3 linked regions of the Danio rerio genome follow. The protein of the gene in region 2 interacts with the protein of the main gene of each other region in a biochemical or structural test. Links are inferred from orthologs where the notes say so. Each region holds a gene or a part of one and is shown on either strand. Other genes may lie near its edges. The genes, in order: amer1, keap1b and mcm3l.

Region 1 (2,652 bases), on a different chromosome or scaffold from region 2:
CACTGACTGCTGTTTATCTGACGTAACGCATGATGAGAAGCAGACACGCATGTGGAAGTGGTGGGCGGGGAGAAGCAGCTCATTTGGATTTAAAGCCAAAGGCTACAATAACAGCTACAGCATATTCAAACCCTGCAATGGGCAAATTCTGGAGGCTATAATAAATAATCTGATGGGTATTTTGAGCTAAAACGGACACATTCTGGAGACACCAATGACTTAGCTTATATCTTGTAAAAGGGGTAAAATAGGTACCCTTTAAAACGTTTCAAGATGCAAACATTGATAGCTTGAAACATACAGCATATTGTGAAATTGAAAAAAATAACTTGTATTAAAAAAGAATTTGTTCATCAGTTCAAACTAAGCTTGATGTTTGAATAGGCTTGCAAGATTGTATTGGTTTTAATGCTATTGCAGGGTTTAATACTTACTCTAAAATAAGTCATTTATAGTGTCGTTGTTGTCCTCTTTGCAAATATATAAAAAAAAAAACATCTGAACAATATGGATCAATTTCAATGGCAATTCCTGGCTACATAAATGCAAAGCAATATGGCATCTATATATAGACAGCACCTGCTGAAAACTGTTGTAACACACAATGTACAAATGCACATCCTCTTAAACTCACAGAAACTAAAACAGCTCAAAAAACTACACAATACCTCACAAAAGAATACAATAGCTTATCCGGCAGTAACAGCAACTATAGTGTGTATGTGTGAGAGTGCCATACAATTCAAGAGTGTCAGTAAACATCCAGCATCGTCTTTGGTGACGAGACTTGTCTATTTGTATTACGGTTTCATTTTGAGTGGGGGAATATTGTTCATAACTTGGGGGGTGCAGGCGTGAAGCCACCCTTAAGTTCCCCCCTCCTGTTCTTCATTGTGATTTCTTGATGGTCTGCAGATTGCTCAGAGCGAAGATGTGGCACACCCTGGGTGACCCCGACAGGCCGATTCTTCCACTGTGTGCCCATAGGGGGGTAACTGCACGGATAAAGCGCATCGCCTCCACCAAATAAAATCTCCCCCTCACCATCCACTCTAGTGGCAGCAGGGAGGTTACGACTACGGCAATTGTTCTTTAGGGGCAGGTGTGAAGGTCTGACAGTGGATTGGCTCAAATGTGGCAACTTCAGTTCTTGCTGAGAAGCATTGCTGGAATCAAAATTCTGTCTGTAGCCCCTCCTCCAGCTGTCAACCGTAATTCTGCAGGGTTGTCGTGGAAAATCCATATCATTACAATCAACAGTCCTGCTCTGTGAAAATGCAGTGCCTTTTGAGTCATACTTGGTTACGCTTGTGTAAATTTCACTTGTCTGAAACTCCAGACTGTCTGTGTCAAGTGAGCGACTTCGGCGATTTAGTGCTAAAGGGGCAGGGACTGGTGGACAAGGTCGACCCAAACTGAGGTGCCGAGGAAGGCTTGCAATTCCCCAAGCATTGCTGAGCAGCAGACTCTGTTCATAAGCATCAAAAGTACGCTGGTCACACTCAGCAAAGGCATCTTGTTGAAGGTAACAGCCATCATCTTCGAATGGCTCATAAGGAGATGCCAACTCTTCCTCTTCCTCTGCAAGGTCAGTCTGCTGCTCACACTCACCCTCATTCTCCATATCAACCACATCGAATGTTACAATGGCAGGCAGGGCTCTCAGACTTGGGCCAAAGGGAGAACTTGACTCAGAGCCATCAAGACTTTCAGTTGAATTGCGGTAAAGCCGGGTGTTCTTTGTAAAATCTACCAAGGCTTGGGAGAAACAGACCATCAGCTCTTCTTGGGATTGGCTGCAGCCTCTGGAGGGTCGTAATGAGCCTTGATCGTCAGATTGAGGCTGCGGTCTGGTTGTCTCGATGACTTGTGGATTCAACACCGAATCAGCACAGGGTGCGAATAACGAACTCTCTTGAACCTGACCCCTGATGCGAGGGACTCCCTCTTTAACAGCCTGGGATCTTGGTGGGGATTGGGGATAGCGCTGATTGATAACTTCTTGCAAATCTTGCTTACTATCATCAACTGGAAGGTTCGAATCATCATAAAAGCAGTCGGAATGGAACAAAAGCTGGTTTTTGGATGGACTCCTGAGATTCTGAAGCTCACAGCACAGAAGGGCATGTTGGATCTTGCTCAGGCGCTCCTCCTCTGTCTCCATGGCTCCTGTTTCTATTGCAGTAGATGCCAAGGAGTATAGCGGGTTTGTTGGACTCTTATCAGCCTGCAAGGGTGCACCAACAAATGAGTGGGCATCCTTGGGAGGAAGAGAAGGACTGAGCAGGCGATCGTCAGGCTCAAAAAGTTCATAAAGGGCATCACCACTGTAGCTGTCCCGTGGAAGCCTTTCCTGGTGTGGACGTTCTCTACTCTCCTCTTCCATCCCTGGCGTGGTGGAGTCATAGTAACCCTCGTCACTGTTGGGTACCGACTCCTGCCGATCACTCTGTGGACTCAAGAGGTCGGCAGGAGTGAGAGCAGTTTCTGTGATTCCCATTGGGCTGCTGCTGGAGGTGGCACGGATAGAGCTCAGTTGCTGATCAGGGGTGAGTGAAGGGCTATCTGAGCCCCTATCTGAGGGGATGTAGCAGACTTCATTACTAGTTTCTGACTCCCATAAGCTCTGCAAGTAATCCGCGTCTATCTCAT
Region 2 (4,172 bases):
GTGGGTGACTGCAAATTCAGCTGTGCGTCTGCAGAGGGGCTGCTGTTGCACACATGCACACACACACACACACACAAGCACACACACACACAAACAAACATGGAAACACCACAGAGCTCACCTTTACACTGTTTACCGTAAACAAACACACACACTCAAACCAACCTCAGAGCCGTCACACCTAAACCACGGGCATCTCTCAATCGCTCACACTCTCTCTTTCTTACCCACACACACACACACACACACACACACACACACACACAAGCTTAGTCATCTGTCAAAACTGGAACTTCTCATGAAATATTAAAATAGAGATGTGAAGAGTGTGTGTGTGTCTCTCAGCTTCTCCTGACCAGTGTGTGTGTGTGTGTGTGTGTTGCTCTGCCGTGAGTGTCAGACTGAAGTGCAGTAGAGTGTGAGTCGCTGCTCCAGTAGACGGGCACGTCAGAGGTCAGAGGTCAGCTGTTCACAGATTGGGCTCTTCTACAAAGATTTTAATGTTTATTTACTCATTAATGAAAGTCAGACTGGAGAGGCAGTGTGTGTGTGTGTGTGTGTGTGTGTGTGTGTGTGTGTGTGTGTGTGTGTGTGTGTGTGTGTGTGTGTCCTTCAGTGTAAAATGTTAATTGCTGAACACACACACACACACACATAACTCTGCATGTAGTCCTCCATCTGTCGCTCCGCTCTGCTCACTGAGAGCCGGACTGTTTTACTGATCGTGTTTTGGATCCAGTATAGGCATGAGATGTGTGCAGCTTCAGCTCAGCTCAGCTCCTCCTCTGATGATCACACTGGAGCAGAACAGAACAGAAGCTGTTCAGTCAGCTGAACCACAGATCCCAGAACAGCCAACAGCAGAACAGCTCAAACACAGCCCAGCAGCAGCCCGCTCTATTGACCTGTAGCGACACCTCGTGTCCAACATCAGTACTGCATCTCACACACACACACACACACACACACACACACACACACACACAGGCCAGCTAATGCTTAGTCACGCTGAGTTTCTGCTTTCAGTGGGTATGATACACACACAAGTACACACACTCACATACACACAGAAGTGCTCACACACACACACACACACACAGAGAGAGAGAGAGAGTGTCCGTGCGCTGCTGCTGATGCCCGTGAGTGTGTTTTCATTGTTTACTGTGTTTAATCGACATTACTGCCGCGTTTGTCAGATCTACAGGCTCGTGTTGATGCAGTTTCTGATGTACAGCTGTGAGGATGAGGATGGCGGCTTGTCTCCTTATTGATGAAGATCAGCTCATGATGAACTTTATTAATCTTCATCTTTATTCCTGATTGATCACTGTGTTGTTTATGGAGGCTTATAACGCGGTAAGAACATGGTAATAACACGAATAAAGTGTTTTGATTTGAGGTCGGCTCGCGTTTCCATCAATAATTTAAAGCGCGGGTCGCGTAGCGCTGAACTTTTCCTCAGCCTCGGTCTGTGGTTTCCCGCTCGGGCGCGGCGCCGCTGCTGAGTGTGGCCGGATCTGCGCTGCCGGGGGCCGGTGCCGTTTCAACTCAAGCCCGGGGATCTCAGGCCTCTCGCTGTTTATGTGTATTTACCGCGCTTTGTGTTCTTAGTGTTATTATAAGAGCTGAAAACAGCGGAAATCAAATTAAAGCATGACTGTAGAGCCGGGGTGAGGAGGATAAACGGAGATAAACACTTCAGTTCAGCAAATTGACAGAAACACATTAAAATAAACCTAGCAGACAGCTGGAACCACACACACACACACACACACACACACACACACACACACACACACACACACACACCTGCTGCATATATATTTGCTCTTTTAAACTACTTATTTAAAATGAGCTGAAACAACACAATTCTTGAGGTTTCATTTGTGAGAACTTAAATTTCTTATGTTCAATCCACACGCATTTGTTAAATGTGTTGAGTTAACTCAATCGACTTGTGTTGGGTCAAGATGAATGAATTGTGTGGAAGCCTGCATTTTTAACAGTGTGTGAGATTCTGTTTACCTGTACACACACTCATAAACAAACAAAAACACACTCATAAACACACACACACACACTAAGTGTGGATCAGAGTGTGTTCTGGTTCACTGACAGCAGGACAGTGTGTGTGTAGTCAGTGTGTGTGTATGTGTGTGTGTAAGCAGAAGATAGACTCCTGCTAACGACAGGAGGAACTCCTGAAACTCATTAGTTCTGATCAAATCACTGACGAAGATCTGATGAACCAGTCCTGAGTCCAACAGAAGAGAGAGTGTGTGTGTGTGTGTGTGTGTGTGTGTGTGTGTGTGTGTGTGTGTGTGTGTGTGTGAGAGTGTGTGTGATACTCCTGATCATTCATGGCAGAGTGTGTTATCGTAGTCAGTGGTGAATCCTCAGTGTTTGTTCTAATCTCTCTCTCTGTGTGTGTGTGTGTGTTTCCCCCTCAGGATTCGCGTGCAGACACAGATCAGCAGCTCTGCCCTCCTCTACAGACTGACTGACAGGCGCGTGTGTGTGCGTGTGTGTGTGTGTGTGTGTGTTCACACTGGTCAGGAGAACACAGATATGTGAGCGTTCCTCTGCGTGTGTTCCTGCTGGTGATGAGCGGTGTGTGTATGATGTGTGCGTGTCTCTAACACAGGTGTGTGTGTGTTCTCGTGACCGCTGCGCTGGCGAGTGAGGATGTGCCCGCGCTGATGTTGGCGGCGGCGGGCATGACGGAGTGTAAGGCGGAGGTGACGCCGTCGGCCAGCAATGGGCACCGCGTCTTCAGCTACACGCTGGAGAGCCACACGGCCGCCGCCTTCGCCATCATGAACGAGCTGCGGCGCGAGAGACAGCTGTGTGACGTCACACTCCGCGTGCGCTACTGCCCGCTCGACACACACGTCGACTTCGTGGCGCATAAGGTGGTGCTGGCCTCGTCCTCGCCTGTGTTCCGCGCCATGTTCACCAACGGCCTAAAGGAGTGCGGCATGGAGGTGGTGCCCATCGAGGGGATACACCCCAAGGTACCAGCACACACACTCACACACACACACACACACACACACACACACACACACACACACACTAGGAAAAAATAATAAATGGGAATTTGGATTTGTAGTGCAGTTTTCCCAGCTGTGTGTGTGTGCGAGTGTGTGAGTGTGTGAGTGTGTGTGTTTGTGTGAGTGTTGCATCATGATACAGTGATGGTCTTGAATGTGTACAGCTCCTCTCCTGAGCTCCAGCACACACACACACACACACACACACACACACACAGCTCAGTGGTCAGGTGATCAGTGACAGCAGCTGTTCTCTCTCCTCATTTCCTCCTCCAAACCTGTTTGAGTTTCTGTTGAACACAGCGGTAGATGTCCTGGAGGAAGCAGCTGATGACTGCAGCAGTGTTTCTGTTCCTGCTGTGGACGTCAGCGGCTGCTTTCCCAGCATTCCTCAGAGTATCAGAGACTGATGAAGCTGTAGAAGCGCTCGAGTGAGGAAAGGAGGAGGACATGTTCATTATAGGTGACCTGTGCCTTTCAGTGTGCCCACTTCAGAAACGGTGTGTGTGTGTGTGTGTGTGTGTGCGTGTGTGTTCTTGTCTCCAGGTCATGGGCCGGCTCATTGAGTTTGCGTACACGGCGAGCATCTCAGTGGGTGAGAAGTGTGTGATCCACGTGATGAACGGCGCCGTGATGTACCAGATCGACAGCGTGGTTCAGGCCTGCTGTGATTTCCTGGTGGAGCAGCTGGACCCCAGTAACGCCATCGGCATCGCCAGCTTCGCCGAGCAGATCGGCTGCACGGAGCTCCACCAGAAGGCCAGAGAGTACATCTACATGAACTTCAGCCAGGTCAGAGCGGCCGACGCACACAGGATAACCGCTCTCACACCCCTCACACACCAACACAAGAGTTCAGGCCTCAATAAGGGGCTTTCACACCCACACTTCTGTTTCGGAACCGTCCCGTTAGTCCAGTCAGCGCGGCTCGTTTGGCATATGTGAATCCAGCAATTGTGCTTGGATCTGCACCAAATCAATCAGTCCGAGATCGCCTGACTGAGGTTCAGTTAAAACTCTGGAGCAGATGGACTGTAGTGAGAAAGAGAAATGATCTGAGCCCGGCGGGATCACTGAGGATTCGGGCCCGCAGAATTCTGCAGATGTTTAGCTCATCAT
Region 3 (3,659 bases), on a different chromosome or scaffold from region 2:
TGTAGTGACTAAGTAATGGGATAATCTGGTATACTGGATGCAGTGGTGCAAATGATCTTTAAAAGATTTGTTAAAAAAAAAAATAATAATAAATAGTGGGTTCGCATAAAAATTATCTAAAACTGCATGTAATGTTTCTGTAAAATTTGCAATAATTATTTTATGTTATAAAATAATTGTTTTTAAAATAATTACAGTATATGTTACTCTAATGTCCATATTTGCTTTGCTAGTACCCAAAAGTGTCAATATGTAGATTTAAAGACTTACTCTTCTATACAAAGTCGATTTTACAACATAAAAGTGCCCCAAAAGTCAAGCATAAACCAAAGGTTATACATAAGTGGACATTACAGACCCTTGCAGAGTCACTGTTGACTTGGTCGTGGCTCCGGAGTCTAGAATATTCCTCCGCTATATAGTCTGATGCCTCCTGAGTCAACACTGGCTTCACCAGCTTGGCCACGTGGATGTACTTCCTGATGAACTCCATTGTAACAATCTTCTCCCTTTTCAAAAGGATTATCACAGAAACTCACTCATGCTACGCAACTTTTTTTCTAAGGGAACAAAGACCATTTATAACTAGATGAAGAGAAGCATACCTTTTCTTCCTGTGGCCATGCAGGACATTGTCTTTTTTCTCATAGATCTGCAACTCCTGCTCAGATGCTTCTGTGATGTTTGGGTCTTCTGTGGCGAACACGTCCACTGTACTTCCCAGCGGCATTGCTGTTTGTGCAGACACAATACTATTTAAAACAACATTTCATTTTGTGATTCCAAAGCTGAATTTGTAACATACTTTCTCCGGTCTTAAATATCACAAACCAGTTGTAATACACACTTTTGTCCTTCTTAATTGTCAAGTTGAATTAATTTTCAGTTCTGAATGTAGAAAACTACTATTCCTACTTGAAATTTTTTGTGGAAACTGACATTTTTTGCAAGATTTTTTGAAGAATGGAAGGTCCAAAAGATCACTACATATTTGAAATATTCATATTTAACAATAGTTTTAAACAATGAATGCATTCTTTATGAATAGAAGTAATTATTTCTTTTTTAAATAATAAAAAATTTAAAATCGTATGCCAAACTGTTCAATGGTAGTAGTAGATCACTTTTACTGTACCACAAAAATGAAGCAAATAAATAAATAAATAAATAAATAAATAAATAAATAAATAAATAAATAAATAAATAAATAAATAAATAAATAAATATATATATATATATATATATATATATATATATATATATATATATATATATATATATATATATATATATATATATAAAAATAAATAAAAAGGTTGTGTTTTTACATTTATTCTATACTGGTGAACGCTACATTTGAATAAAGTAGTAAAAAAAAAAATCCTTTGATTAGTGTTTTTCCACCCCATAATTACGACTTCTCTTCTCAGAACTGTAAAAACCAAATAAAATTAAAATGGTGATAAATGTAACTTGCAATTCTAAAGGGGTGGGGGGTGTATACTCAACTGGAGTCAAAAAAAAAAAAGGAAAATTCCATATTTATAAAATGTTAGCACAAAATTGCAAGTTACAAACTCGATTACAAAGTAATAGCTTACAAGAAAAAAAGAAAATTCAGAAATGCAAAAAAAAAAAAAAACAACTTAAAATGTAAACTTGAAATTGTCAATTCTGAGAGAGAAAAAAAACCTATCAAAGTTATCAGCTTGTAATTCCACCATAATTGTTCTTTACAAGCAATTGAACTTATGCCAAACAACAACAAGCTTCTAGCACTTATCTCCACTCATCTCTAGAGGTGGTTGTGTTTTGTCCAGCAGAGGTCAGTCTCACCTGTTCCCTCTGCTTCTCCCGGTGCTCTGTAGCGATGCATACGCAACACATGCTCAGAGATCTCCTTATCACTGTCAGGATCCATCTGATCCAGAACTATGAAGAGCAGATCAAATCTGGAAAGCAAGGAATCCTGGAGCCCGATGTTCTCCATGGGGGTCTTATACTGGTCATACTTGATAAATTAACCCAATTGAACACATTAGAATTAACAGAATATTAAATTCTCAATTCTTAATAGAAAGTACTTATACCAGTCAAGCCACCAATCAATATTTACCCTTCCGTACACTGGATTAGCAGCAGCTAACACACTGCAGCGAGCGTTCAGCCTTGCCTGAATCCCAGCTTTGGAAATGGTGACCCTGCCCTGCTCCATCACTTCATGGATGGCGGTTCGGTCCATGTCTGACATCTTATCAAACTCATCAATGCAAACCACACCTCTGTCAGCAAGCACCATAGCTCCTGCCTCCAGACGGCGCTCACCTGCAACAGCCAGAGGAGAACAGGCACAAATTCATTCTCAGCTTCCTTGCATCATGCTAAATTAAAAAAGAAACACTGCACTTTTTTGGAAATAGGCTCATTTTACAACTCCTGTAAAAAATTTTTAAAAATCCATTCAGCGGATCTCCAGGTCTGGCAGGAGCATTTTTAGCTTAGCATAGATCATTGAATCAGATTAGACCATTAGAATCTCACTCAAATAATAAAAAAAAGTGTTTTGATAATTTTCCAATTATACACTTGACTCTACTTATTCTATTCTTGAGTTACATTGTGTATTGTGGCTGCTGCACTTACAATAATATTATGCAGGGCTGTTACCTAGTTAGCTGTGGACTATTTTCAAGCACTATGTAATATTGTGTTTGCTTCAGGCATGGTATTGAATCAAAGTTCCTTGATTATTATGCTGGATTGAGAGTATAGTTTTTAGCCACATTGACCTAGAAAATAGCAACTTCTTATTTTCTGTTGGTTTTACAACACGCAAGTCGATTCTTTATATATATATATATATATATATATATATATATATATATATATATATATATATATATATATATATATATATATATATATATATATATATATATATATATATATATATATATATATATATATATATATATATATATATATATATATATATCCAGACTGACTGAATGAATTAAAAAAATAATAAAGCTCAGCTGTTTAACTCTACACTCTCAAGAAATAAAGGTACAAGAGCTATCATTGGGAAAGTACCTTTACATATTTGTACCTAAAGCAGCCTTTGTGGTACCTCAAAGATACATATCAGTACCCAAATGCACCTAAAATGTACCTTTGAAGTACTAATATGGACTTTTCAGGTACAAATATGTATCTTTTGTAAAGGTACTTTCCCAGTGACAGCTCTTGTACCTTTATTTCTGAGAGTGTAGAGTTAAACAGCTGAGCTTTATTATTTTTGAATTCATTTAGTCAGTTTTGTTACCTTTTAGCCTCGCATAGACCATTGAATTGGATTTTAACTCAAAAATAAATAAATAAATAAATAAATAAATATAATATCTTGTACCTTTATTTCGTATTTCGAGTGTATGACTTGTAAAAATGAGTCTAACCAGAGCAGGTTGGGCTTAAGGGTTAGTTAACAGCCGGGCTATGTACAGTATGTGTCCCTGGACCAGAAAACCAGTCATAACTGTTATTTTTGTAAATCGAGATTCATACATAATCTGAAAGCCAAAATAAATAAAAGCTTTTCATTGATTTGTGGTTTATTAGGAAACATTTATTTGAAAATCTGGTATCAGAGGGTTTAAAAA

The links.
Region 1: the proteins of keap1b (region 2) and amer1 form a complex in vitro, tested with the Homo sapiens proteins (2 studies listed by BioGRID). The link is inferred for Danio rerio from reciprocal best matches to the Homo sapiens genes KEAP1 and AMER1.
Region 3: the proteins of keap1b (region 2) and mcm3l form a complex in vitro, tested with the Homo sapiens proteins (2 studies listed by BioGRID, with this or other methods). The link is inferred for Danio rerio from reciprocal best matches to the Homo sapiens genes KEAP1 and MCM3.

The regions. Positions count from the first base shown.
Region 1 is NC_133180.1:22,730,441-22,733,092, forward strand, and holds part of amer1 (APC membrane recruitment protein 1), read right to left. Parts: coding exon 833-2,652; 3' UTR 1-832. UniProt on the Homo sapiens protein: Regulator of the canonical Wnt signaling pathway.
Region 2 is NC_133181.1:203,352-207,523, reverse strand, and holds the start of keap1b (kelch-like ECH-associated protein 1B), read left to right. Parts: upstream 1-1,339; 5' UTR 1,340-1,356; intron 1,357-2,450; 5' UTR 2,451-2,699; coding exon 2,700-3,014; intron 3,015-3,599; coding exon 3,600-3,845; intron 3,846-4,172. UniProt on the Homo sapiens protein: Substrate-specific adapter of a BCR (BTB-CUL3-RBX1) E3 ubiquitin ligase complex that regulates the response to oxidative stress by targeting NFE2L2/NRF2 for ubiquitination.
Region 3 is NC_133195.1:6,677,968-6,681,626, forward strand, and holds part of mcm3l (MCM3 minichromosome maintenance deficient 3 (S. cerevisiae), like), read right to left. Parts: intron 2,326-3,659; coding exon 2,117-2,325; intron 2,012-2,116; coding exon 1,837-2,011; intron 733-1,836; coding exon 606-732; intron 510-605; coding exon 359-509; intron 1-358. UniProt on the Homo sapiens protein: Acts as a component of the MCM2-7 complex (MCM complex) which is the replicative helicase essential for 'once per cell cycle' DNA replication initiation and elongation in eukaryotic cells.